Linked DNA regions of Oryzias latipes. Each later gene encodes a partner of the first gene's protein in a complex. Links are inferred from orthologs where the notes say so. Each region holds a gene or a part of one and is shown on either strand. Other genes may lie near its edges. The genes, in order: pigt, gpaa1, pigs and pigu.

The links.
Region 2: the proteins of pigt (region 1) and gpaa1 are in contact, whole or in part, in a cryo-EM structure (PDB 7W72), measured with the Homo sapiens proteins. The link is inferred for Oryzias latipes from reciprocal best matches to the Homo sapiens genes PIGT and GPAA1. Residues at the interface, in NP_057021.2 of Homo sapiens: Gln91, Gly92, Phe93, Arg95, Arg97, Tyr98, Ser108, Phe211, His212, Thr213, Ser214, Asp247, Phe249, Ile250, Arg340, Gln355, Tyr357, Val358, Ser359, Gly360, Tyr361, Gly362, Leu363, Leu371, Tyr373, Lys441, Asp459, Pro460, Asn461, His462; in NP_003792.1 of Homo sapiens: Arg97, Ser98, Val99, Gly100, Glu102, Tyr104, Arg134, Ala135, Pro136, Arg137, Ala138, Ala139, Ser140, Thr141, Glu142, Arg171, Gly172, Gln173, Ile174, Tyr199, His200, Asp201, Val202, Leu212, Gln213, Gly214, Arg215, Ala218, Arg311, Tyr312.
Region 3: the proteins of pigt (region 1) and pigs are in contact, whole or in part, in a cryo-EM structure (PDB 8IMY), measured with the Homo sapiens proteins. The link is inferred for Oryzias latipes from reciprocal best matches to the Homo sapiens genes PIGT and PIGS. Residues at the interface, in NP_057021.2 of Homo sapiens: Pro26, Arg27, Val63, Ser64, His65, Tyr66, Arg67, Lys71, Gln75, Lys79, Tyr80, Val133, Gly136, Lys191, Leu193, Pro194, Cys195, Ser196, Lys198, Ala199, Glu270, Pro271, Pro273, Leu274, Tyr526, Ile529, Cys530, Cys533, Val536, Ala537; in NP_149975.1 of Homo sapiens: Thr9, Glu12, Val13, Gly16, Ala19, Ala20, Phe23, Thr230, Pro238, Lys239, Tyr244, Ile247, Glu248, Val251, Gln256, Val270, Asp271, Ser272, Gln273, Ile274, Tyr276, Tyr277, Met279, Ser309, Arg310, Ser313, Ser314, Ala315, Ala316, Phe513.
Region 4: the proteins of pigt (region 1) and pigu are in contact, whole or in part, in a cryo-EM structure (PDB 8IMX), measured with the Homo sapiens proteins. The link is inferred for Oryzias latipes from reciprocal best matches to the Homo sapiens genes PIGT and PIGU. Residues at the interface, in NP_057021.2 of Homo sapiens: Tyr361, Gly362, Leu363, Gln364, Lys365, Arg394, Leu395, Tyr396, Val397, His398, Tyr416, Pro418, Ala419, Gln420, Asp421, Arg422, Gln445, Glu447, Leu450, Leu451, Lys452, Trp453, Thr454, Pro518, Thr519, Pro520, Asp521, Phe522, Ser523, Met524; in NP_536724.1 of Homo sapiens: Glu30, Lys42, Arg43, Val45, Glu46, Ser49, Leu50, Leu53, Val55, Ser59, Gly60, Ala61, Val62, Pro265, Asp266, Leu267, Pro269, Leu273, Trp275, Tyr276, Phe277, Phe278, Ala279, Glu280, Met281, Phe282, Glu283, Phe289, Phe293, Asn296.

What each region holds. Positions count from the first base shown.
Region 1 is NC_019865.2:9,037,058-9,041,860, forward strand, and holds part of pigt (GPI transamidase component PIG-T), read right to left. Parts: intron 4,622-4,803; coding exon 4,494-4,621; intron 3,436-4,493; coding exon 3,335-3,435; intron 3,220-3,334; coding exon 3,045-3,219; intron 2,970-3,044; coding exon 2,872-2,969; intron 2,733-2,871; coding exon 2,576-2,732; intron 2,208-2,575; coding exon 2,007-2,207; intron 89-2,006; coding exon 1-88. UniProt on the Homo sapiens protein: Component of the glycosylphosphatidylinositol-anchor (GPI-anchor) transamidase (GPI-T) complex that catalyzes the formation of the linkage between a proprotein and a GPI-anchor and participates in GPI anchored protein biosynthesis.
Region 2 is NC_019875.2:26,756,297-26,762,190, forward strand, and holds the start of gpaa1 (glycosylphosphatidylinositol anchor attachment 1 protein), read right to left. Parts: upstream 3,536-5,894; 5' UTR 3,412-3,535; intron 2,217-3,411; 5' UTR 2,186-2,216; coding exon 2,112-2,185; intron 2,032-2,111; coding exon 1,852-2,031; intron 1,757-1,851; coding exon 1,645-1,756; intron 1,530-1,644; coding exon 1,382-1,529; intron 882-1,381; coding exon 780-881; intron 587-779; coding exon 390-586; intron 310-389; coding exon 113-309; intron 28-112; coding exon 1-27. Other genes in the region: exosc4 (exosome complex component RRP41), read right to left, coding at 4,308-4,664, 4,750-4,956, 5,712-5,882. UniProt on the Homo sapiens protein: Component of the glycosylphosphatidylinositol-anchor (GPI-anchor) transamidase (GPI-T) complex that catalyzes the formation of the linkage between a proprotein and a GPI-anchor and participates in GPI anchored protein biosynthesis. Binds GPI-anchor.
Region 3 is NC_019872.2:12,612,115-12,618,132, reverse strand, and holds the start of pigs (GPI transamidase component PIG-S), read left to right. Parts: upstream 1-1,871; 5' UTR 1,872-1,984; coding exon 1,985-2,003; intron 2,004-2,559; coding exon 2,560-2,699; intron 2,700-2,793; coding exon 2,794-2,905; intron 2,906-2,982; coding exon 2,983-3,072; intron 3,073-3,154; coding exon 3,155-3,246; intron 3,247-3,358; coding exon 3,359-3,599; intron 3,600-3,682; coding exon 3,683-3,825; intron 3,826-3,914; coding exon 3,915-4,029; intron 4,030-4,121; coding exon 4,122-4,267; intron 4,268-5,065; coding exon 5,066-5,166; intron 5,167-5,245; coding exon 5,246-5,456; intron 5,457-6,018. Other genes in the region: aldoc (fructose-bisphosphate aldolase C), read left to right, coding at 169-261. UniProt on the Homo sapiens protein: Component of the glycosylphosphatidylinositol-anchor (GPI-anchor) transamidase (GPI-T) complex that catalyzes the formation of the linkage between a proprotein and a GPI-anchor and participates in GPI anchored protein biosynthesis.
Region 4 is NC_019863.2:32,753,719-32,759,664, forward strand, and holds the start of pigu (phosphatidylinositol glycan anchor biosynthesis class U protein), read right to left. Parts: upstream 4,140-5,946; 5' UTR 4,094-4,139; coding exon 3,964-4,093; intron 2,644-3,963; coding exon 2,579-2,643; intron 2,475-2,578; coding exon 2,415-2,474; intron 2,341-2,414; coding exon 2,278-2,340; intron 2,212-2,277; coding exon 2,102-2,211; intron 2,023-2,101; coding exon 1,922-2,022; intron 1,854-1,921; coding exon 1,756-1,853; intron 1,676-1,755; coding exon 1,521-1,675; intron 1,437-1,520; coding exon 1,293-1,436; intron 1,207-1,292; coding exon 1,082-1,206; intron 1,012-1,081; coding exon 869-1,011; intron 1-868. Other genes in the region: psmf1 (proteasome inhibitor PI31 subunit), read left to right, coding at 4,966-5,094, 5,611-5,757. UniProt on the Homo sapiens protein: Component of the glycosylphosphatidylinositol-anchor (GPI-anchor) transamidase (GPI-T) complex that catalyzes the formation of the linkage between a proprotein and a GPI-anchor and participates in GPI anchored protein biosynthesis.

The DNA.
Region 1 (4,803 bases):
TCGGTAACAGAATGTGGAGGAAGCTGGAGCAGCATCTCTAACAGGTGGGGTCGCTCACGGTCCTTAGACGGCTGGTAGTGAATGTAACCTGACAGGAAAAGAAATGCAGGTGGCCCCTCATCATTAGCTACTACGTTCAGGGTAAAATAATGAAAATGATGTAGTGCTGGTTTAAAAATAACATTTAAAGTATAGTTTGTAAAATAAATAACCAAAAAAAAGATACTGACAGATGCTCAAGAATGTGCCAAAACTAATTGGACTAAAAATGCTTGATTTAACATCTCCCCCTTGTGGTGAAAAAGGAAAGTGCAAGACGTATTGATTTTTCATCCCCTTCACCTCTATCAGCATTCTGTGCGACCCTGAAGTTGCTGTTAAAAGCAGTAAAATGTTGCTTAACCTACTAAAGAATGATGACTGGATAATATCTGTATTTATTAGGGATCAACAGAACAAGTAGTAAACCAACAGAATTGGAAATGCCATAAAATAAACTTTATTGTAGGTATGCTGATCTTCTTCCTCTTTTGGCTTCTCCCATCAGGGGTCGCCACAGCGAACAAGTCGCATGGTATATTTGGCAATGTTTTACGCCGGATGCCCTTCCTGACGCAACCTTCTCAAACCGGGCTTGGAACCGGCACAAAGGTAGAGAAGGGAACAGGGAGCAGCCCGGAGTCGAACCCTGGTTTCACGGATGGAAGGCGCCGCAAACCAGCACGAGCTATGCTGATGCTGAAACTATTTTAGAACAAAATAACCAAAACTGGAATGTCAACAGATCAAAAACCCAATGTGATGCAAAACTGACCACACTTTGTAAAGAAATATATTGCTATGAACTCATTTACGTTGTTTTCAATAAGCTGTTTAATAACCCCACTTTCTATTGGATGTTGCTTTTCTTCTGCTTTTCTGCGAAATGCAGACTGTAGGAACCAAAATGTAGTTTTGTTGCACATTTCCTCATTTCCTTTGTAGTTTGGATGGTTTACCTCTACAGTTTGTTAGTGACACCTGGGTGAAAAGTTTGTTAAGTGCCCGCTCACCTGCATTCGAGATTGAGAAGAAGAGATTTGTTTCCTATTTTGAGGCAACTTTGTCGCTACAGTTTTCTTCACATTCACCTTTTTAAATTAAGTTCATTCACTCAAAGCAAAGCTGTAACTTTCTCCGAGTGTTTTTTTGTGCAGTAAACATGCAAAACATGGGAATGAAGCGCGTCTTACACAAACTGAACCCCATTGGCTCCTCAGGCTTCAACAGGAAAGTCGCTTTAACACAGATGAGTCTCAGTCACCAGTAGGTTCTGCCTGCGTTCTGCCTGGGCTGCATTTGAAGGCTGCTTACGTCACAGCGCCGCGACAAGTGCTGTCCAAATTCAACGACTCCTTCAAAGGCAGCAGACCTCTTTTTCCCGATTTCAAGGATTGGGATTGGTCTGGTGTATCCTTCTGTGCTGTCCATATCCCAAGATGCATTGCAGCCGAACCCGGAGATTTTCTGACAACAATGGTGGAATGTGAAGCGGGACCCAGAGTTGAGAATAATTACACCTTTTTATATGTTCACCTCCAAGATTAAAAGTTGGATCAAATAAGCCAGAAAATTTTGAGCTCCTCGCTTGGTTCACTACTCCTCTCTGTTCGGGACACAAGGTTGCTAGGCGACAGGACATGCGCTGATGTAACGGCTGTAATCATCTAAAGGTTAGACTCAGCAAGATTCACAGCTGTTAACATCCGACCTACCCGCTCGACGAAGGAACCGCCCAACGCCGCCCGTGAAGGCGGTGGCCATTGAAGGATGCAGCCCTCGAGTTTGGAAACAAATTTCAAAAGTACACACTGTTTGGTAATCGCGACTTTAATCCGTGTTTGAAAGCTGGTAGCTTCATAGTTACTTAACTTTGTCATCTTTTGATAAACGTCCCAAACAAAATTGTGGTTTGTCTGTAAATGTGAGACACAAACGTCCCAGCGTTAAAAAGCAAAGAAACTCACTGGGGTTGTTGTCCTTCCCTTTGCTGATGACTTTGAGTGTGTGGATGTAGAGGCGCAGATACCAAGGCACGGAGTCCAGCAGCAGCACCGGGAAGGACCTGAACGGGTGGTTGTTGTACATCAGGGTATGAATCTCTCCTGTCTGCAGACCGTATCCAGCCACGTAACGCTCAGCGTGAAGCAGTGGGCGGAGCATGTCACCTGCAGGGACAAGGCAAGATGAGCTCATATTTAGATACAAATATATCCTCTTTGTGTTTTATCATTTCTGAGCACAAAACAAGTAAAGAGCCAAAGCAGGGATGCTTTTTCTGCTTTCAAATCCTGGCTAAAGCTGAAGAAACATGGATTAAGCGTCTTCATTCACCCTCTAGACCAGGGGTCCCCAAATCCAGGCCTCGAGGGCCGGTGTCCTACATGTTTTCCAACCAACCTGCCATTGAAGCTCCTAGTTGGCCAAACACACCTGATCAAGGTAATCAGCAGCAAATAAGATAGGGTTTCAGGAAAACCAGCAGGACACCGGCCCTCGAGGCCTGGATTTGGGGACCCCTGCTCTAGACAATCACCTTCACTGGATTTCCAACGAATCATCAGGTTGAGGGAGCGCACAGTGCCAAAGGTGACTTGTTGGGTCAGATCGTAGACGGAAAAAGTGCGTCTGTCCCCGAGCACCACCGCCTGGCTCAGCAGAGGAGTGGCTGGACTCAGCTCGAACTGCTCCTCCTGCAAAATGCATCGTCTCCAGTCACATATCATCACAACAACTTTATCTTGAAACTGAAATATCACTGCGGTAAATCCTTTTCCAACTGCTGGTTTTCTGGATTGTGAAAGGGTGAAAGATTAGAATGAACGGTCAGACCTGAGGGTTGTCTGTGACGTCGATGTATATTTTACTGGAAGAAGCCAGCGGACATGCTTCCGTCAGCGTCCGAGAGAACATCTTGAACAGAGACCACTCTACATGCAGAAGCAGCTGGAGTTAGTAAAGACCACCAGGGTGCTAGCTGGAGTCTAAGGAAGGCCTCTGCTCACCACGCTTGCTCTGTCCAGAGGTGTGCAGGTCAAAGACTACGTTCAGCGCCTGCCGCAGCTCCCAAGAAGAAGACTTACACTGCCGGTCCTGACACACTGGTCTTATGTGCACAGACTGGGAATGAAAACTGCTGTGGAAGAGCTTCTCTGACTTCAACAGGACGGCAAGACCGGCCTGTGAAGACGAAACAAGAACTCAGTTATTTATTAAAAAATACAACTTTAAACTAAAAATAAAATAACTGCTGACTCTTTGAACACACGGCCTGCAGACAGACATAGAAATTCACCTTGGATCCACACGGCAGGAGTTTCTTCCAGGGGGTTAAATTCTCAGTGCAGACAATTTCCCGTGGAAGGGTGGCGTAGCGGAGAAAGCGGTGGTCTGTCTCTTTAAGGATTTAGACAGCAATCGTAAAATAGTGAACATAAATAGTAAACAAAATGAGGAAGACTTGATCAGCAATTTCAGACATGTCTTTACTTTACAAGCAGTGTTATGGTATGTGTGCAATTTCCGTAAAACCCTGTGAGCATCAGAATGACTACAAAACATTTCTTGGGTTTGTGTGTGGGGTGTCTTTTCTCCTGCAAAAACAAGTTAAAAAACATTTGTGTTATTGTGATGCTTTACAGGCAGGAATGGATGGATAAAGGCTTTCAGACCAAACAAGCAGAAAAAGTACATTTAAGCCTAATGCAGCAAAACATCTTGTAGAAACGTATTTTTAGACAATAATAACTTGTCCATAGAAAGTTCCACTCCAAACATCTTGTGATAAAATTTCAAAAGGTTACTGGTGGAATTTAAATTGCAATTATGCATTTTAAGACAAAATCCAAAAACCTGTGTTGTCTTTTAGGACAGTTTCAAAAATGTATCCGAAATTTGCCTCAGAGTTGTGGGAGGGACCGTTCCCCCGTTGCAGAGCAGGGAGCTCATGGCCCACCCAGCTTACTTTCTATGTAGCAAATGAACTCTCTTTCCAACTGAATGTTTTCATCTACTCCTGATAATTTGAATCAAGAAATACTCAGAAAGAAAATTTTAAGCTTAATTTTCTTAATATGTGTCATTAATCACCTGAAAAATGCCACAAGAATGTGTTAAAATCACCAAAAAACAGAGTTTTCATCAGAGTGGTTCTTTAAATGAAAAATATTAAAATAGATGTTGTCCAGTCAAACAATTTTAACGGTTTTTGAAGTCTGAAGTTGATCCCACTGAAAAGCTGTGGTGACATCTGAAAAATGTTTTAGCAGCATTTTTTTTCTCCCATTCTCCTCTTTCTCACTGACACAGCTGCTTATCTTATTCATGTTCTGCAAAAAGCTTCTGCCATGTTAGCATGGAGACGCCACTAATGCCTTGCATCACATCATCAGCTTTTACACATGACTACAGCGCAAGGCAAAATGCCAAAGGATGCTGAGGAGGCTGGACTGTACCATTGCCTATTCCCAGAGGTTTAAATGAAGCGCTGGGCTGCAGGGTGTTGGTGGAGTCGATAAAGTTCAGTGAAGCACAGAAGATGCCTGACAAAACGTTGGTCAGCTCCTTCCAGGTGGCATCGACACTAAAAATAACAACATCAAAAAACAGAAGTGAGAAAACTCAAGTTGTCCTGGCGTACCCAATCTTTTTTTTTTTTTTTTTTGAAACAACAAGAATGCCAATACTCATTTTTCCTTTGAGGATGAAACTTTGCAGATTGGACCTTAGCAACACCCACAATCCCCATTTAGCACAAACCGAAAT
Region 2 (5,894 bases), on another chromosome or scaffold:
AGTTTCCGGTACATTCCTTCCAGCAACCTAAAACAGAAAACAGTCAGTCTGCATTCCTGCAGTTATTGGTGAATAAGCATTCAACTCATTGTAATTTCAGCCCTGCGCCCACCTGCCGATGGTGGTGGCGTCGGTTTTGTAGTGACGGAAGCTGTTGACGCCCTTAACGGTGGCGGCTTCGATGTGGTAGCGCAGGAACAGGCCGTGGTCGCCCCAGGGCCGCCCGCTGGCCTGCTTCATCACCATCAGCATCATGGTCTGCACCGCGTGGTTGTACCCCGACGCACTGTCCCAGTCGTTCCTCTGCAGCTGCAGACATAAGAAATTCTCAGCTTCCCTCCAAACATCAGTGAGGAGGGACATGCTCCTCCTAGAGGAACCGGCCTTACCTTCCCTTGGATCGTGCACAGGACTCCAATCTTTTGACAGAAGGCATAGAAGAGGTTTGCCAAGTCCAGGTTAGGGAGCTGCCCGTTGAGACCCTCCAGAACGATGTCCAAGCTGGTGACCACGTCACTGCTGAGCTCTAAAGACAGGGCGGCCTGGATCGAACCACCGCGCCCCTGCAGGGGAGACCAGTCCATGCCTACGCCGACAAATCAACAAGAACTTCTATGAGACCTAAAGCCTTGCTGTTTGAAACACAGGTCAGCGAGAAGGCGGCACAATTATGTTAAACAGTTCATTTAATTTTCTATTTTTGTGTTGCATTTGGGGCCTGTAAGGCATCCTGAGCGTCATGAAAGCACTACTGAAGTTACTTTATAGATAGCGCTCACCTGTGACATTGGTGTGATGGTATCCCTCCAGCCAGGCCTGCATCCCAATCAGATCATGCTCATTCACCAGAAAGATGATATCTTTGGCCCAGTAAACCTGATCTGTTAGAAAGAGGAGAAATTATTGAGAAGTTTCATCTCAGATGGAGGTCATTTAGACCAGAGTTTTTCAACCAGTGTGCCGTGGGAAATTACCCATTCACTCATCTAAAAACATTTACCATCTCCAGGATAGGTTTTATGTTAGGTTACATAAAATTGCATGTTAATAGACTGGAGGAAAAAACAACTACCAGGGAAAAATGTCAAATAATTTAGTTGAAAATTATTACTGAAAGCTAACTTAACTTTTATTACATCTTTTAGAAAAAAACAGCAGCAACTTCCAGCTTTTTCTGCCACACATATCACAAAAATGCATGCGAGATTGCAGAGGGACTGTACATCTATATATGTTTCTCCTTTTTTCATTTTTGGATGCTGGTGTGCTGCGGGATTTTTGTCCAGAATAAAGTGTGCCTTGGCTCAAAAAGGTTGAAAAACACTGATTTAGACAAAAAAGAGCGACTCTTTCGTCTGATCTGTGTCGATGAAGTACTCACTCCGGAAGTAATGGGCCAAACCGAGCAGCAGTCCCACAGCCTGGTTGTTGTTATCACCTGGAGTGCAGGGAGCACTGAGCACCAGCGCTTCGGTCCGCGGAGCTCGAGGTGCTCGGAGAATCCCATAAACATTTGTACCTTTTACAACCTGCAAGGAAGAAAAAAAAAAGACATATATACTCAGAAAATGGGTATGTTGTCATCTGAACACTAAAAACACAACCAAACTGGAAGATTTAAACATAAATTCAACAGAAACGTACGTATCTTTCAGTGTTTTCATCGGGAAAAGGCAGCGTGCGAGAGAAGCTCTGCGTGAAAACCTCCAGCCCTCGAGCCTGCATGGTTTTCACCAGCCAGTCCACCGGCATCCCACTGACGAGAAGCCAAGAGGAACAGCTTAGTTAAGCTTAAGGGGAGATTTTGTAGGGGGAAAAAAACTCATTTCTGTATTGATACAATCATTTTACCCGACTTTCTTCTTGTGAGCAGCAAACTCTCGGCCTGTAGCCAGCGCTCTCTCGCCTGCAGGGAAGCGCTCCTCCACCATGGTGGATCCCATGGCGTTCTCTGACATGTAGGTCCGCAGGGTGAACGGCTCAAACGCCAGACCCATGAACCAAGCAACACCCGCAAAGTAGCAGACGAAGCTGACGAGGACAGGCGTGGAGAATTTAAAACATTCTAACACTCAGTATGAGAGGAGCAATGGAAAAATAACACAACTCACCAGATTGGAGCATTGAGGCGGGTCAGCAGTTTGATCAAAGCCTGCCTTCTATTGGGGTCAGACAGCAGCCCCATGTCGTCTCGTTATCCTGGATATGTGGATCTACTGGAACCAGAAGGCAGAAAAGGTACAGACCACTAACAGACAGACCTCCAGACCTTGATAATGCAAATGAAGAGCTCTCAAATGATGAACACAAAGGCCGTTCAAAGGGTTTCAAGAAATGCAAGAGCTTTGATAATACAGGGAAGATTCAAGAATCAAAATAATAAGTTAAAATCCCAAATTATATTCATTTCATCTGTGCCACATGTTAACAATTATTGCGTATTTGACAATAAATAGATCTGATAGGTGTTTAAGTGGCTATACATACAGTTTTGTTCACCTTTCAGCAAATTTCTTCAAGGGTCGCCACAGCAAAACAGCTTGTGCTGTTTTCACAGAGGTGGTTTGGGCGGATTTTTACGCGACACAACCTATATTTAACCAGGCTAGGGACAGTGACAGGGGGACCCGTTGGGCTGCCTCTGTGGCTACATAGTTAGGCAGTAGCAGAGGCTATAAATCGAAATCCATTCCTTTTTCTGACTTTTAGCCAGCATAAAAACCTGAGAACCGCAGTGATGTGGTCGGTTCTCCTGGCTCTGACAGCAAAGTTCTGAATGAGCTGCAGCTTTGTTGTCTTTACTTATTTTTCAAGAGGAGCATGTTTCAGTCATCCAGCCTGCACGAAATGAAAACTCTAAAATCTGGACATGGGATCTCCGAATCTCAATATTTGATTGATTATGTAGATATTATTTAGTTGTGGTCTTAATCTGAAATCTGATATGACTTTATGATGATGATTTCTAACTTAACTATTACTGTTTTTTCCTATAGGAGAAACAGCCCTTCAGTCATATTTCATTAGACGTCACTTTTAGCTCGGAACCAGACATTGAAGAAAGCTACTTTAGACAGAGGAGCATGTTGGGATTCACTCTCACTAACTCCTGCACTGATTTTTGGACGAATCCATGAGCTTGTACCACCACGCAGAGAAAAATACAACCGTTTTAGAATCATTTAGACTTTTTTTTAGCTGGTGTGGTCGTGATAAAAATAATTATAACTACAAATATTAACATAATGTCTTCTGACTCTCGTCGTTTCATTCAACTTCATGAATGATGGTTAGCTTAATGCTGCTAGCTTCGACAGAACAGCATCGTTAGTATTTAAAAATATATACCATCCGTCAAAAGTGTAAACGTTGTTTATAAATGTGATATATTTAAGACGTAAAAAAATGTACCTCAAACCTAGTCACACTTGCAGAGGCGACGCTTCCACACCAGGGCTGCTGAAGTATTTTGTTTCCTTGTTCCCGCGGGAACGTTAATTCTGTGGACCAACTTCCGGTCTGAAAAATGCATATCCGGTCAAAAATGAAATACATCTCTATTTATCAAAATATTCCAGAGGTGGTGTAAAATGTGATTATTTAAACTTAGTCACGCATCTTTTTGTAATAATCAGTGAAAATGTACTTTAATATGCAATAATTCTAATAAAGATTTATGTAAGAAAAGTTACTTTAAAAAGTAAGTTACATTAATACCAATTTTGTTTCAGCAGGTAAAGAAAATGATAGATTATTCAGCCTCAACGGACTGAAACTCTTACAAAACATGTATTGTATTGTGACATAAAAATTACTTTTACAACAAACAAAAGCAAAAGCAGAATAGCCTGTCTGCAAAACAAATCAAAGAAAATTAATCTAAAAAAAAAAGACTAAACACATGAACAGAGCATTTCATTCAGGAATAAAAAGTATTGTTTTGGTGAAAATTTGTAAGATATCAACACAGCTAAATAAATTGGATATAAGAATTATCTAATTTTTCACAAATTGTTTACTCTTACGGATGTGTGGTTTAAAATAAAGGTTCTTATTGTATCAGTCTGAAAACAAAGCTTTATTATCTGTTTATATATAAAATGCTGATGTTGCTGTTTCAGTTGATCACATTGATTTTTGCATCAAAAACAGGTCAGTTTTCAGCTAATAAAACAAATGCAAATACAAAGAAACGATATACATTCACATTTATTCTTTATGCACAAATATACTTAATAAAATGTTAAGAATGACGACAAAATAAGTGTTGATCCCAGGAAACCATTTGTTTACTCTTTCCTTCACCATTATTCTCTGAGCGTAGAACCTTCTTGGAGATGTTGCCTGACCACCTGGTCCAGGACTTTGCTCACACCTTTACAAGCGGTCATTGCCGCCTCAATCAGAGTGTCGAGGTGATCCTGATGCAGTCTGGCATCCATCTGGACCAGAGCGATCTGCCCTCCGCGGGGCAGAAGCGCCAAAGCCAGAGAGCTCACTCCTCCGCTCTCCTCTGCGTAGCAAAGATCGGCAAGAGAGGTTTCATCCACGAAGCCCACTGTGCAGGCGCACACATAGTCCCTCATCGGTATCCCTGCGTCGATCACTGCCAGTGTGGCGGCGTTCACACAAACGCTGTAGTTCCCCCCGTCGGACTGAAGAATCTTGAATGATGAAAACGTTCTTAAAACAATGACGAAAACAGATGCTATGAAGTAGAGCGCAGTATACTATAAATCTAAGGCCAACCTTGACATAGATGTCTATCTGGGAGCGTGGGTAGAGCTGGGTCAGCACGGCAGCTTCAAACGTTTGCTTGAGGTGAAGGCTCATTTCTGTGGACTTGCGGTCTCCGTGCGGTCTCCTCTTCCTCTCCGCCGTGCTGAAGGTGGCCATGCTGTACTGGCAGTTGATAATGGCTCTGTCATGAAGAGCCCGACTACGAGCACCTCGAATCTGAATGGGAAACAGGAAGTAAGCATAGGAGAACCATAAAAAAGGTCTGACATTTTTCACAGGGCGGCATACATCTGTCCTTTGAGTAAAACAGCTTTTTAATCCATCATCAGAGGTAAACCAGACAATAAAAACGCCAGACATGGGAGAGTTTGAGGTCAACGGCACAGATGAGCAAAAACAACATCTCAGGTTTTCCATCAGAAATATCGATGTTCTACAAGATTTAGGAAAGACTTTCAGGACAGAAAAGATAACCGTGAAACATTTTGGGTGATGTGCCTCGCATCACTCTAGTGTAAAACATTGCACAAACAGTCAAACATGGTGGTAATGGTGTCATGGTAAGGGGCTGTTATATTTGGGGCTTGGAATACTTTTGGTAAATGAATAAATTAACCAACAAATCCTCAAATTAACTTGGATTTCTCAGCAAGTCAAAGATTCAAAAGCAGTAAGTTTACCTCAGAATAGCATAACAAGTTCAAAAACTCTTGAATGCAGTTGTTAGTAAGTACTGTGTGACCGAGCCAGATAAGTAAACATTTTGTGTTACTGATACAATAAAATGCTTTGAAGGAAACGTATTATACTAAAATCATTACATTAATGTAAAATATCCCTTTAAATCTGACACATTACATAGAAATATCTTAATCCTTCATTAAACGCAGTTTGCACCGTTTCTTTGGCTGCCATGAACAGACTGGTGGTGTTGTTTTTACGTCACTTCTCCACGCGCGCGCGCCACTCACTTCATGCGGGCCGTAAACCACCGCCAGAGCTTTGGTGTTTCCTTGCTCCAGATACGCGGAACCGTCGGCCTGAGCGAACACCCCCATGCGGGCCTGGACTTTGCGCAGCTCGGTAGCTTTTCTTCCATCCAACCGGTATCCTTGATCAGACAGCAGCTCCAGACCCGCCATTTTCCCTAGCTT
Region 3 (6,018 bases), on another chromosome or scaffold:
ATTGACCCGCCCTCAATTTAGAAGCAAACTTAAAATGAACTCCTGCCGCTCTGCAGAAACTATGTCCTCGAAAACAACACGGGTCGTTCTTTGAAATCAAGCATGCACATCCAAGCACAGTAAAAGTCTTTCCATCCCTAAAATCTTTTTTTGTTTTTTCCTTTCCAGGCGAATGGCCTGGCGGCTCTTGGCAAGTACGCATCATCTGGATCCGGCAGCGCCGCCTCGCAGTCTCTCTATGTGGCGAACCACGCCTACTAAACATAGAACGACCACATTCAGCCGTGGTCTAGTCTTAGTCTTAAATCTGCTCTTCTGTCCCTTCTCACTCCTACATCGACCACAGGCCTGCGCTCTCTATTAATATCAGAGTTATATACATTGTTAGATAAATGTATTTTAAAAGAATGTGATGTTAAAATTTCAAAGGGAACAGGCTTATAGTTTTTTTCCCTTCTTCGAACAGTTTGTGACAGTTTTGGGGCAAATTTGAAATGTTACGCTTGTGTCTCTGATGAGGCTGAAAAGCGGAAGCCAGAGGCTCCAGAATGTGATGAAGATCATCGGTCAGTATTGGTTTCTTGCCGCTTTGAAAATGCGCCTGCCTCCATGTCAGGTGCCTTCTCCCTGCGAGCCCCCGAGCAGGCTAAAATCTGCATGAGTGTTAGTGTTGCGCTTCCCGTTTGAAACCGTATAGGCTCATACCAACATCCACATTGACAGTGGGACCAACTAATACGTAGGCATCAGTTAAAGCACAGTATGGCGACGAGAACGGTGAAAGATCTGAACTGGGTTATCCTTCTGATAGACGGTCCCAGCAGAGATCACACGGTACTGTAAAAACCCGCTCCACACCGGCTTTCACCCCACTCTTTTCTTGTGTTCCTTCTGGACCTTAATACATGAACTAAAACCATCATTTGTGTCTTTTCTGTATAACATTAGCTCTCAGAGTCACGCAGTAATTGATGTGTTTTGTTATGTGAAGGTGTCAATATTGTGTGATGCATGTGTCACCTCTGCCCCCTGTCCTGCTTTTCCCTGCTGGCCCCTTAGGAAGATCAGAGGAAGTCTATTGAAATGTATGTTAAAAATAAATGAATAAAAGGACCAACATGTGGGACCAGCAGCACAGAAACATTCACTGCTTTGTTGAAATACTGTTTGTGATGTTAATATTGTTCTTGAAACACGCTGTGTCATGTAGTGGAGATAATAAACTAAAATACACATTAAACCTGATGGAGACTCCATTTTTGTGTTCGATCCCCTCTGGTTTGACTGTGGCCTCTTTTGCCTTATTTTTATTTTTTTGGAGCAAGTAAATGTTTTTAAAGTTCATGTTTTTTTACTTTTATTACCTTCAGTATTTAAATTAATATGCTCTTGTACATTTATAAACCCCTGTCTGGGTTATTCTGTTGGTACAATATTTTGTCACATTACTAGCTGCCTTGTCATTTAGAAAAATCATCCATAAGATTATAATGGACGAAAATTCAGTTTCAGTCAGAAAGAGTTTAAGTGAAATTTAAATAAATTTATGTAAGATTTAAAATGACTTGTTCTTGCCGTGTCATTCATAGCAGCATAAATTACACTTAATATACTTCTACTAGAAACAGAATCCCGCAAGAATATATTTGTTCAAAAGAGGAAGAAATCTCTGGGATCAATTGGATAGGTCAGCCTATCACCACAGGAGGCGCTGTTGAGAAACTGTTTTTTTTAAGTACGTTAAAAAATAACACCCGGGGAGCCGGCGGTGACAGTCATTTTATCTGAAATTGAATTTTACCAGGGTTTTCATTAGACCATTATAACAATGGCGTATTAGAACATTGTGTTACTCTTAAAGAAACTGTAGCTACATATCAGTAATATCTAGACTTTTGCTTTATACGCATTTTGTTTCAGCTGTCACGTGACACACGTGGCTACGTCTGTCGTGTCAACGAGCGCACTACTTTCATTGACAGAAATGGCCACCACGGAAGTGGGTGAGTGAATTCATTGCTCGGTTTCTTTCTATGAGTTTTTAATGTGAACGTTTGTGGAATTAAATGTACTATGTTGTAAATGTTCATGTTGAGACAATAATAGATGATGTAGTTGTTGGTCATTTTTGTCTTGTTATGACGCTCTGATGCTAACAGCTAATTAGCTACATACTGCCTGCTCAAGACAAGTGCAACCAAACAGTTTTATTCTTATATCTTTGTCTTCTAACATTTTAAATCATCTGAAATGTCAACAATGACTTTAATATCTCCCCGGATATAGGTATCAGGATTATTTGGCCGTTTAATTTAACCATTAAAAACAGTTACATATTTGATTGATTTATTTAGAATTTGGAAGAAAGTTTCATAAATTTTTATTTTATTTGAACTTAACTGTCCTTCTATTTAGATGCAAAATGACGAACAATAGCAGTTTTTTAAGCAAGCTGTTTAGTGAAATATAAATCAAATATAAGTTGTTTTTTGTAACCAAAGACATTTGTCTTATGTTGAACAATTAGCAACAACAATGTACTTCTGGCATTTCTCTCAGAGCGCAGACGAGGTCAGCTTGCTGCCCTGTCTATCGCCGCCGTGGTCATCGTCGTTGGGGTCCCCTTGTGGTGGCGAACGACTGAAACCTACCGCGCCTGGTTACCTTTCAGCCAGATAAAAGACCTCTCTAAACTGCAGGTCTGTCTCTGTTCCGGGATATCACCAAACTCCCCGGTTAACGTATCTTCCTTTTGCGTTTGTGTGTTGGAATAGTCTTTATCTCTCCTTGCAGCTGCATTTAAGTGCTGATGTTGAAGTTGTGTTTGCACGGGGCACCCTGACACCTGAGCAGCAGAAGAGGCTCCCCCTGACCCAGACGCAGGATGAGGAGCATGCAGTGGATGGTGACGCACTTTAGAATCCTGGATTTTGAGGTCATGCAGTCCATACCAGCATGAATAACGGTTTCTCCCATTTCTAGAGAACACAGTTTTGAGGTATACTCATGAAATAAAGTACCAAACAGCTACAATTATGGAAGAGGAGGCTCTGGGCAAGCCCACCGCTGCAGGTGAACTACCTACCAAATAGTGTGTTGTGTCAGTGAAACCTCATGTATAGTTACTTCTGTCTGTATCTGTGTCCTTTTCCAGAGGCGGATCTATCTCTGCACATGCTCAGTGAAAGTCCGTGTGGTTCTTCAGTGGTGTATGTGATTCCTGAGGTCTCCTCGCTGCTACCAGAGGTAAAAGCTGTTCATACTTCTATTGTAATAGTGATTTTTTTTTTTTAAACTCATAGCTTTCAGTCATTTTAGTCTCTTGATTGTAAAGAAAACTTTTTAAAATCCTCTTTAGAATGTCAAAGTGTATATTGGTCAACGCCGGACGGCCATCCTACGCATCAATGCTGAGATGAGAGCAGGAAAGACGGTAGAGCAGCTACTGGATGTCCTGAAGCCTCAAATCAAGCAGGTGCTTCAGGTGATGTCTTTTAGTCACACGGACATCACAGCTGCCCTCAGTGATCGAGTCCGTTTCAACCCTGGCAGCAAAGAAAGTATGACTCATAGTATGAGAGCCTTTACATTCAGTCCAGGTTGGTTTTTATCTATGGTTTGGTAACATTTCTTTGCAGTCCTTTTTCCGCTTATATTCTGTGCTTGTCCTTACCTTTTTTAGGTTATGAGATAACTTTCAGTCTGTTGAACCCTGACCCAAGGTCACACAGGCTCCATTGGGACATAGAAGGTGCTGTTCAGACTTACATCCAGCCTTTTCTTACCAAACTTTCTCCTTTGGCCAACTTCAGCATAGACTCTCAGGTACGAGAGGCAGCACTGCACACGTTTCAAAGTTCAGAGTCATCATGAAAAGTCACCCTGCAGCTTTGTTCTTCATTTGCTTTTAACAGATGCTACACTACGCCATGCTGGGTGTCAACCCGCGCTATAACAACGACCGCGGCGCCTTCATACTTCACGCCGACAGCCTTGCTCATGTCATCAACCCAGTGGAGGCCAGACTTGGTAAAACTGTTGTTACTTGCAAATACTGGCGATAGAATACAATGGAAAAAAGGGGAGCCGTTTTTTCTTACGTTAGTCTCATTCAACTCCAGGTTCCAATGCTGCCTCCTCCAACCCGGTGCTGAATTTTCTTCTGTATGTGCCAGACGCCCAGCATTCACCACTTTACATTCAGGACCACAAGAAAATGGATGTTCCTTCGAATGCATTTCACTCTCCGCGTTGGGGGGGGATTATGGTAAGAAGACTGATCTTTGGATGATGTTAAAGACTCACTCTGATCATCTTTTGAGATATTTTAAAAGCCTTCCCAGTGGTCTTTTAAATATAATTGAGTGTTTTTAACTCCAAATAAAATAAAATAAAACGATTGTTTTCGAGGACACAAGGAGCTTGTCTCATCATATATTTTACGTCAAAAAAGGCTCTTTTTTTTTTTTGCCTGCTACTAATTTACAACGATTTGAATGAAGAAATGCAATTCTAAGCTTAAATTTCTCTAAAGTGGGTCTTTAACAGGATGGTACATTTTTTTTCTTACTTTACTTTGTGTTATATAATTTATGCAGCCAAAATGTTCTCTTGTGGAGTAAAATTGGAACAATATACCGGTATATATATATTTTTAAGTATATGTGGGTATAAACTATGCCATTATAATTACTATTATTCATAAGTAGACATATTTGCACTTAGACATACAGAATATAACACATGTAATCCATTAAATGTGAACATTTGTCAAAGACTTAATTTAATTGCTTAAAAAACACTTTTAAGCTTTAGTTAACTATGTATTGTTTCACATTGTTATCATAATCTGGTTCTTAACTTCTAATTAGAGCTATTTACATCGATAATATACATCTCAACTCGTCACATGGAAACAAATCCAACAACATGGAATCAGACCTTTGTATCTGTGCTCTTTTTTGCTAAATGTGTTCAATCTTATTCCTCTGGGACTTGACATATCTTGCAATAAATGGCATATTTTTGGAGCCTTACTTACTTTCACCTACTACTGTTTCTTTAGGTGTATAATGTTAAAAATCTCTATGGACCAGAGGCTGAGTTTCCTGTCAACATCAACATAAACATGGCTGAAGTCATGGGGGTTTTCCTGACGCAACTTCGGTAAAAAAGTTTTTTCCTCTGGAGCAAATCGTCTTTCTCTGCTTCACACTAGAAACGTCCCATTAACGTGTCGTTTTAGGCTGTTGGTGGGCATGGAGTCCTCCCCTCCTCCCCCAGGCTTCTTGGTGGCTCCGTGCGGCAGCGTAGGACTGGCTGACTGGGAGCTGGACCGTCTCATGTGGAGTCGGAGTGTGGAAAATATTGCTACGGCGACCACAACCATCACTTCTCTAGCGCAGCTCTTGGACCAGATTGGAAACATTGTCATAAACGACAACATTGCCCAGCAGGTAGACGGCATCCTCAGCTGTAAAAACATTTCTTTGTCTGTGTTGTTTATTCATATGTGCTTCTGCAGGAAGGGGGGTGAACTTGGCCCTTTTTTTAAGCCCTAAATTACTTTAGCTTTTATTATTTCAACTGTGAGAGAAACTGTAGTGAAAACCAGACCATAGAAAGTTTTACGGCAGCTTCTATGTAAGCTGAAAATTAGGATGTTAGAGCAAATAACCTCTATAACAAATAAAATGTTCCCAGTGGTCTTTTAATTATGATTTGTGCAATTTTTAGCCACGTTTTTTTTTTTTAAACTGTTGGATTCTAAGACAGTTTCTGCAGAGCATCAGTGCTTCATTAAAACTCACCCCTGAATCTGTACCGTTAGGGCAGATCAACTCCACCCTCTCTTCCCCTCCCCAAATGCTGAGAGCTCTCTGTTTACACACTCTACCAGTAGCTTACAGCCCCTCTACAAAAACATCGGAGCTATCCAGCGAAGACGTACACGGATCTGTTTTTCTGCAAGTGAACGCATCAGAATGGAGCAGAGCAGGGAGCTTGTGGTCCCAAACA
Region 4 (5,946 bases), on another chromosome or scaffold:
CAGGAAGAGTCTGTGCTGCAGGCTCCGCCCCCAGGCTAACACACACGCCCAGGCCATGTTCAAATTCCCACCCTGACCTCTACATAGAGCATCTATAGTGCGTTTATCATTCTATAGTGTCTGAATCTACAATTCCAAAATCCAGAGCCCTAGAAATTTCCCAGAAGTCTCTGCGAAAAACCACTAGATCGGTGAATATAGACCACAATGCATTGCATTGGAACAACTTTTGCAAAAAAAATTTATTTTTTTAATAAACCATCAACGTTTTTATCTTCAGAAGACAGTGGATCATAAATAATCCTCCCAGAACGCTCATTAATTAGATTTTAACTTTGTGAAATCAATGACGTCACATCTGCCGTTAAAAAAAAAAAAAAGGAGTGAGTGTGGCGTCTGAATTGTTTTCAAAATTCAGGGCACCTCCTCGTTTTTTAGTAGTTAGGGCGGGAATTTGGACACTTTCTCTGTGGAGCTAGCGGTGATCGGCTAAACGCTTTCCTTCTCTAGGCACAATACACACATCCGTCTTTGTACGGCGGTGTTTGTTTTCGTGGGAAAATCGCAGACACGCTGCAGAGGCCGGCTCTAGGATGATGTCATGAAATGGGCGGAACCCACAAAGAGAGAAAGGCGGAGCCCCAAAGATCCAGTCGTCTTACTTCTGGGTAGGAAAAATTAATATTTAATAAAAAGTTTGTTATTTAGCGGGAACATATTATAGATGAATGAATATAGTTTACTATGAAAAGCTTGCGAAAAGTATAATATAGGCCCTTTAAAATATTCTCACGTCCTCATGAATATAGAATCTGCTGGCCCCTTTCTCAGCTGAACCTGACAGCGCCCCCCTCAGGCCGCTCCTTACCTGCGCCACGTTGAACAGCAGCGTTATGGCGTAGTAGAAGTTGGAGTTGGCGCTGCCGGCGTAGATCCAGAGGTGCCAGAGGACCGGGAACAGCGCCGAGCAGGCCAGCAGGACGCAGGACACCAGGAAGATGTTCCTCAGGACTGGAGAACAGAAACCTTTGAGAAACCTCGGCGCCGCCAGAGAACGCCAGAACCTGGAGCACACACTCACAGCGGTGCAGGTGACTCCAGAGCGGGAGGAAGGCCATGTAGAGGGCGACGTCCCCCACGGTGGGGTAGGATTTAAAGATGGAGATCACGGCTAGCTGCATGAAGATCAGGAACACGGGATGCTCCCTGCAGCAGAAGCATGAAGGCAGGCAGACACGCTGAAGAACCGGAGCAGAGAAAAGCTCTGCAGCGACCGCATCAGACCCACTTACTTGAGTTTGATGGACAGAGGGATGGTATAGAAGAAGACGTTGATCTGGAAGACGCAGAGGAAGAAGAGGCGGAAATGTTCAAACATTTCGGCAAAGAAATACCAGAAGAGGCCGATGTTGGGGGTCAGGTCAGGAACGGAGAGGCTGCAGGGAAACCAGCAGGAAACATCCATCACACGGGGGAGAAACCATCTCTAAAACCCTTCACTCCTCCTCATCCTCACTCACATGAAGCCGTAGACGGACGGCATGTAGTCCCAGGAGCCCAGCAGGAAGAAGGACAGGCAGACCAGGACGAACAGGCTGCCCAGGTACATGAAGAGGTATTGAACCACAAACCACCAGAAGCTGACGCGCCGGAGGTTGACCGGGATGTACTGACGCTGCAGGAGCAGACGCAGGGAGACGGGAGTCAGAGACCAGGAGAGCGCCGGGACGCTCCCGTCACTGGGAGGAGACGCACCTGCATCAGGTAGAGCATTGCAGGAGCGCACAGGGTCAGAGGGTAGACGGACTGATAGGTGGCCAGACACAGGAAGATGGCGCTCAGCAGCACGTTTCCTGAAACGCAGAGAAGGTCAGAGGTCCAGGCGCCAAACAAGGGGTCCAGCCGGAGTCTGAGGGCCGACCTTTGACCGTGCAGAGGATGAAGAGAGAGATGACCATGTTGTTCAGGCCGCAGGTGGACTTGGCGACGCAGGACAAGATGGTGAACGGGTTCAGCAGGTAACTGCGGGAGAAGAAGAGCTGAAGCTTCTGCTGGTTCCGCCCAGAGAGCGGAGGGGGGCGGAGCTCTGAGGAGGACTCACAACATGGCCACTTTCAGGGGGACGTAGTGCATCTCTAAGGGGGTCCTGATGAGCTCCAGACAGTCCGGGGGGTAGCGGTCCGCCTCCAACGCAAACTTCTGTTTTCTGAACTGTAAAAACACGACAGAGTCTGGGTGAGAGCAGATCTACGTGCAGAGGTTCTGCAGCTTTCTCACCACTTGTTTGTTGTAATCCTTGGCTGCTGCGTACAGCGCCGCGGCCGTCACCACGTCTGCCAGCTGAGGACACAAAGCAGAGCTCCACACATCCGCCACAAACCTCCTGACGTCCAGAACCTCCTTTAGGGACTCACCATGAAGGTGATCTCTGCATAATCCACCAGGAAGTGGAAGAGGTAGATGATGAGCGGAGTCTGCGGACAAACACATGTGGTGAGGTCCGGCCTGAGCGTCCGCCGTTTCCCACGTTCAGGTCGGACGAAGGTGTCACCTTCAGGTGTTTTGGTTTGTGACTCACCTCGTGGAAAACATCTCCAGAGTACGGAGACACTCCCAGGTCAAGCAGAGCCAGACCCTCGATCACTGCAACACAACCACACCACAACAGAGTCCTCAGTCTGAGGCGGTAGGTTCATGATCAGGAAGATTCATCAGAAAAGGATCCAAACCTCAGAACCCACAAAACATTTAGACTATTGTCTGTTTGAGCAGCAGGCTCCGCCTCCAACCTCCTGAACGGTTGACGTCCCCGTCCTTTTGTAAAGTCAGACCGCATCCACAGCACACTAGGAATGCTACCCTCTCTGCCTGCTAAATACGTCCCGTTGGCTGCTGTGACTGAATATTATGGTCTGTTTTCTGCCGTGCTGAGTTCACAGATCAGATTTGGTTAAATGTTCCACATTTCCTCTCGTCGTGAATCAGGGAAAACCTGTTTAGAGCTGCAGAGATGCATCAGAAAAACGAAGCGTTCTGGTGGCATTTTTCTGATGATGGGGACAAATATGAAGAAAATGAAGCTTCAAGTTGCATTTCTGAGTTTTTCTTTATTCAAATCGTTGTGAATGAGGAGCAGACGAAACTATGCCGTTTGAAAAACATCCTATTTGTGATGTCGACAAAAAATATCCTGGGCGGGGCCACAAACTCCCAGCTCCGCCCCTTTCTGATGCATCCACCTGCAGACAGGTAGAGAGACCCATGAACGTCTTTGTCTTCCTGCAATCTGGATCAGAACTGAGCGGCTGGACAGCTGCGCTAATGTTAGCGGGAGAGCGTGGAAACAGAGAGCTCTCAGCAAAGGGGAGGGCAAGGGGGGCGGGGTTGCTCCATGCCAACAGGCAACTCAGAGGAGAGGTGGATTTCTACTGAACTCCAGCTGCTCTGCAGAAACTATGTCCTAGAAAAAGACAGGATTTTGGGCTAAAAACGGCATCATCATCAGAAACAAACGACCGGGAACAATCTGACAACAGATCAGATGATCAGGAACATGGATGAACCCAAACATGTTCTTCATCCATCAGAACCTGCAGGACAACCCAACAGCTCCTCTGCAGAACCTCCTGTCGTTACTTTGACTGAAGTCACTTTCAGTTAATGAAGGCGTTACAGCTCTGACAGTGTCATATTCAAATGTAATAGATTACTTGTACGAGTAACAATCGATGATAATAATCAGAGATGAGTTCCTTCAGTTCGGGGTTTTTTTGGGGACCAAAAATCGGATCAGAGTCCGAGTCTGACACCGTTTCACCTTCGTCGACCATTCTCCAAACATTTACAGATTTCTTTTGTGACAGATTTTGTCGCCGAACCGGTTTACCGGCGCAGCGGGGAGGCGCGCGGGTGCGAGGCGTGTGTGACCGGTGCGCTCCGGACCCCCGCCGGCGGCCCGCTCACCTCTTTTCCAGGCAGTAATCGGTGACACCACCTCCACCCTCTCTGAAATCAGCTCCGCCAAACTGGACCGGAATAGAACGGCACGGACCGTCACGGCGACAATCATTAGGAGCGTCAAGGGAGCCGCCATCTTCGCGAGGAAGCTCTCTCGCCCTGCGCTCGAGGTGCATGCTGGGAAGTCAAGTTTATTCCGTCTCGTCAGGAAAACATTTACCTCCAACCTCCACAGATTTACAGTCCAAGCAGCGATAAGGAGCGAGTTTAATAATAATAATAATAATAATAATAATAATAATAATAATAATAATAATAATAATAATAAAGGAACATATTTACAAAAAGACTATTTAAAACGCATAATTCAAGCAATTAAAATCAAGATTAGAATTTTGTTTTAATCAAATATTGTATTTAATTTTATGTGTAAAGGTAAATAAACACATTTTAAACAACTTGAAAAGGAGTTTAATCTCAACAGAGGAGTTTTCATATGATCTTGTTGTTAGTTCTAATTTTGCATATGCTGAATATACATAAAGACGCTGTAATTTTAAACAATAATATAGCACATATTACAGGCGTTTTTCTTTAATCACCCCGGAATGCGGAATGTTTTGTCATTTGCGTGTTTTCAGTCGAAAGATTTATGTGACGGATCAAAACAAAACTGCAACTCGCCGTCTAGTTGGAATAAACTATTTTACTGTTTCCGGGGGCGTATTTAAAAATAAAATAAAATTAACGCTTTTGTGGGCCTGTGTTAGCGTCACGTTGAAGTAGATTATCGTTGTTCGTTTTAAAAATATCTGATTACTAAATTGTGACTGTATCACGTCTACAATACTATTTTAGCGTGTCGTATGTGTTTTCTGCAATCCTCTAAAAGCCACGTGCTTTTACTTTGAAAATCCCTGCAGGAAGTCGCTGTGGTTGTTATGGAAGCGACGACTCTGCGATTTTTGTTTTCTGTTCTTGTTCTGTGCTGTTGGTTTGTGAGACAACATGGCAGGCTTGGAGGTGTTGTACACCTGCGTCACAGGTAGCCTGACTTGTCCTCAGGACGCCCTCGTGTGTTTCGTTCACTGGGAAATGATCAAGGGAGGATACCGGTGCATCGGTTCCGGAGACGAGGTGGGTCGAACTAGCTAACTTAAGCAGAACCAGAAGAGACAAACCAACAACACATTCTGGTTTTATTTAAACACATTTAAGATACGAGACGAACCAAGTTAATGCTGTTTGTTTACTTTTAGATCGTAGTTTGTTGACAGCCTCTGAAGTCCCTCTGAGTTACAGTTTTGATTTAAACTCTCAGTCTGTGGGAATAAATGTTAGCTTTGCTACATTAGCAGGAGGATCAGGATGGAAACTGAAACTGTCCTGCAGGCGATTCAGAGGAAACCTCCGCTGAGTTGGTTCTTCTTCCTCCATCTAGGTGACCTTTGACCTCCTAAAGTTCTGCATTGAGTCATGTTTTAGTCCGATTTTTAGTCTCGTGCAGTTGGCACGCGCCATTTGGTCTCATACTAAACAAATGGACTTTCCGCAAAAAGTGTCACGTCATCTTTAGCGCGGGGGGGGGGGCACAGAAGCGTTTGAAAGAGAGGGTGTCTCACCCCCCCCCCCCGCCCCCGTCCCTCCCCCCAGCCCCGCAGCGGTGACCGGAAGTCGGAGCTCCTGCCTGCAGACTGGAGCAGCAACAAGGAGCTGTACAGTCTCCGCTACGAAGGCGCGGACGCAAAGATGCTGCTGAAAGCCGTCCCCGTGGACTCTGCTGTGATATTCAACCTGATGGTAGGCATGGGGGGGGGTCCTTCAGGACATGAGGGGGTGGGCACTCTGCTGGAATGAGGGAGAACGAAGCATTAAATGCAAAAAGTCTGCAGCGAACCTCACATCTGAGACGACAGAGAAACAAATCTGAAATTTAAAAACACAGAGGCCGCTTTTAGGTTTCATGGCAACATTTGGCTCGTTTTAGAA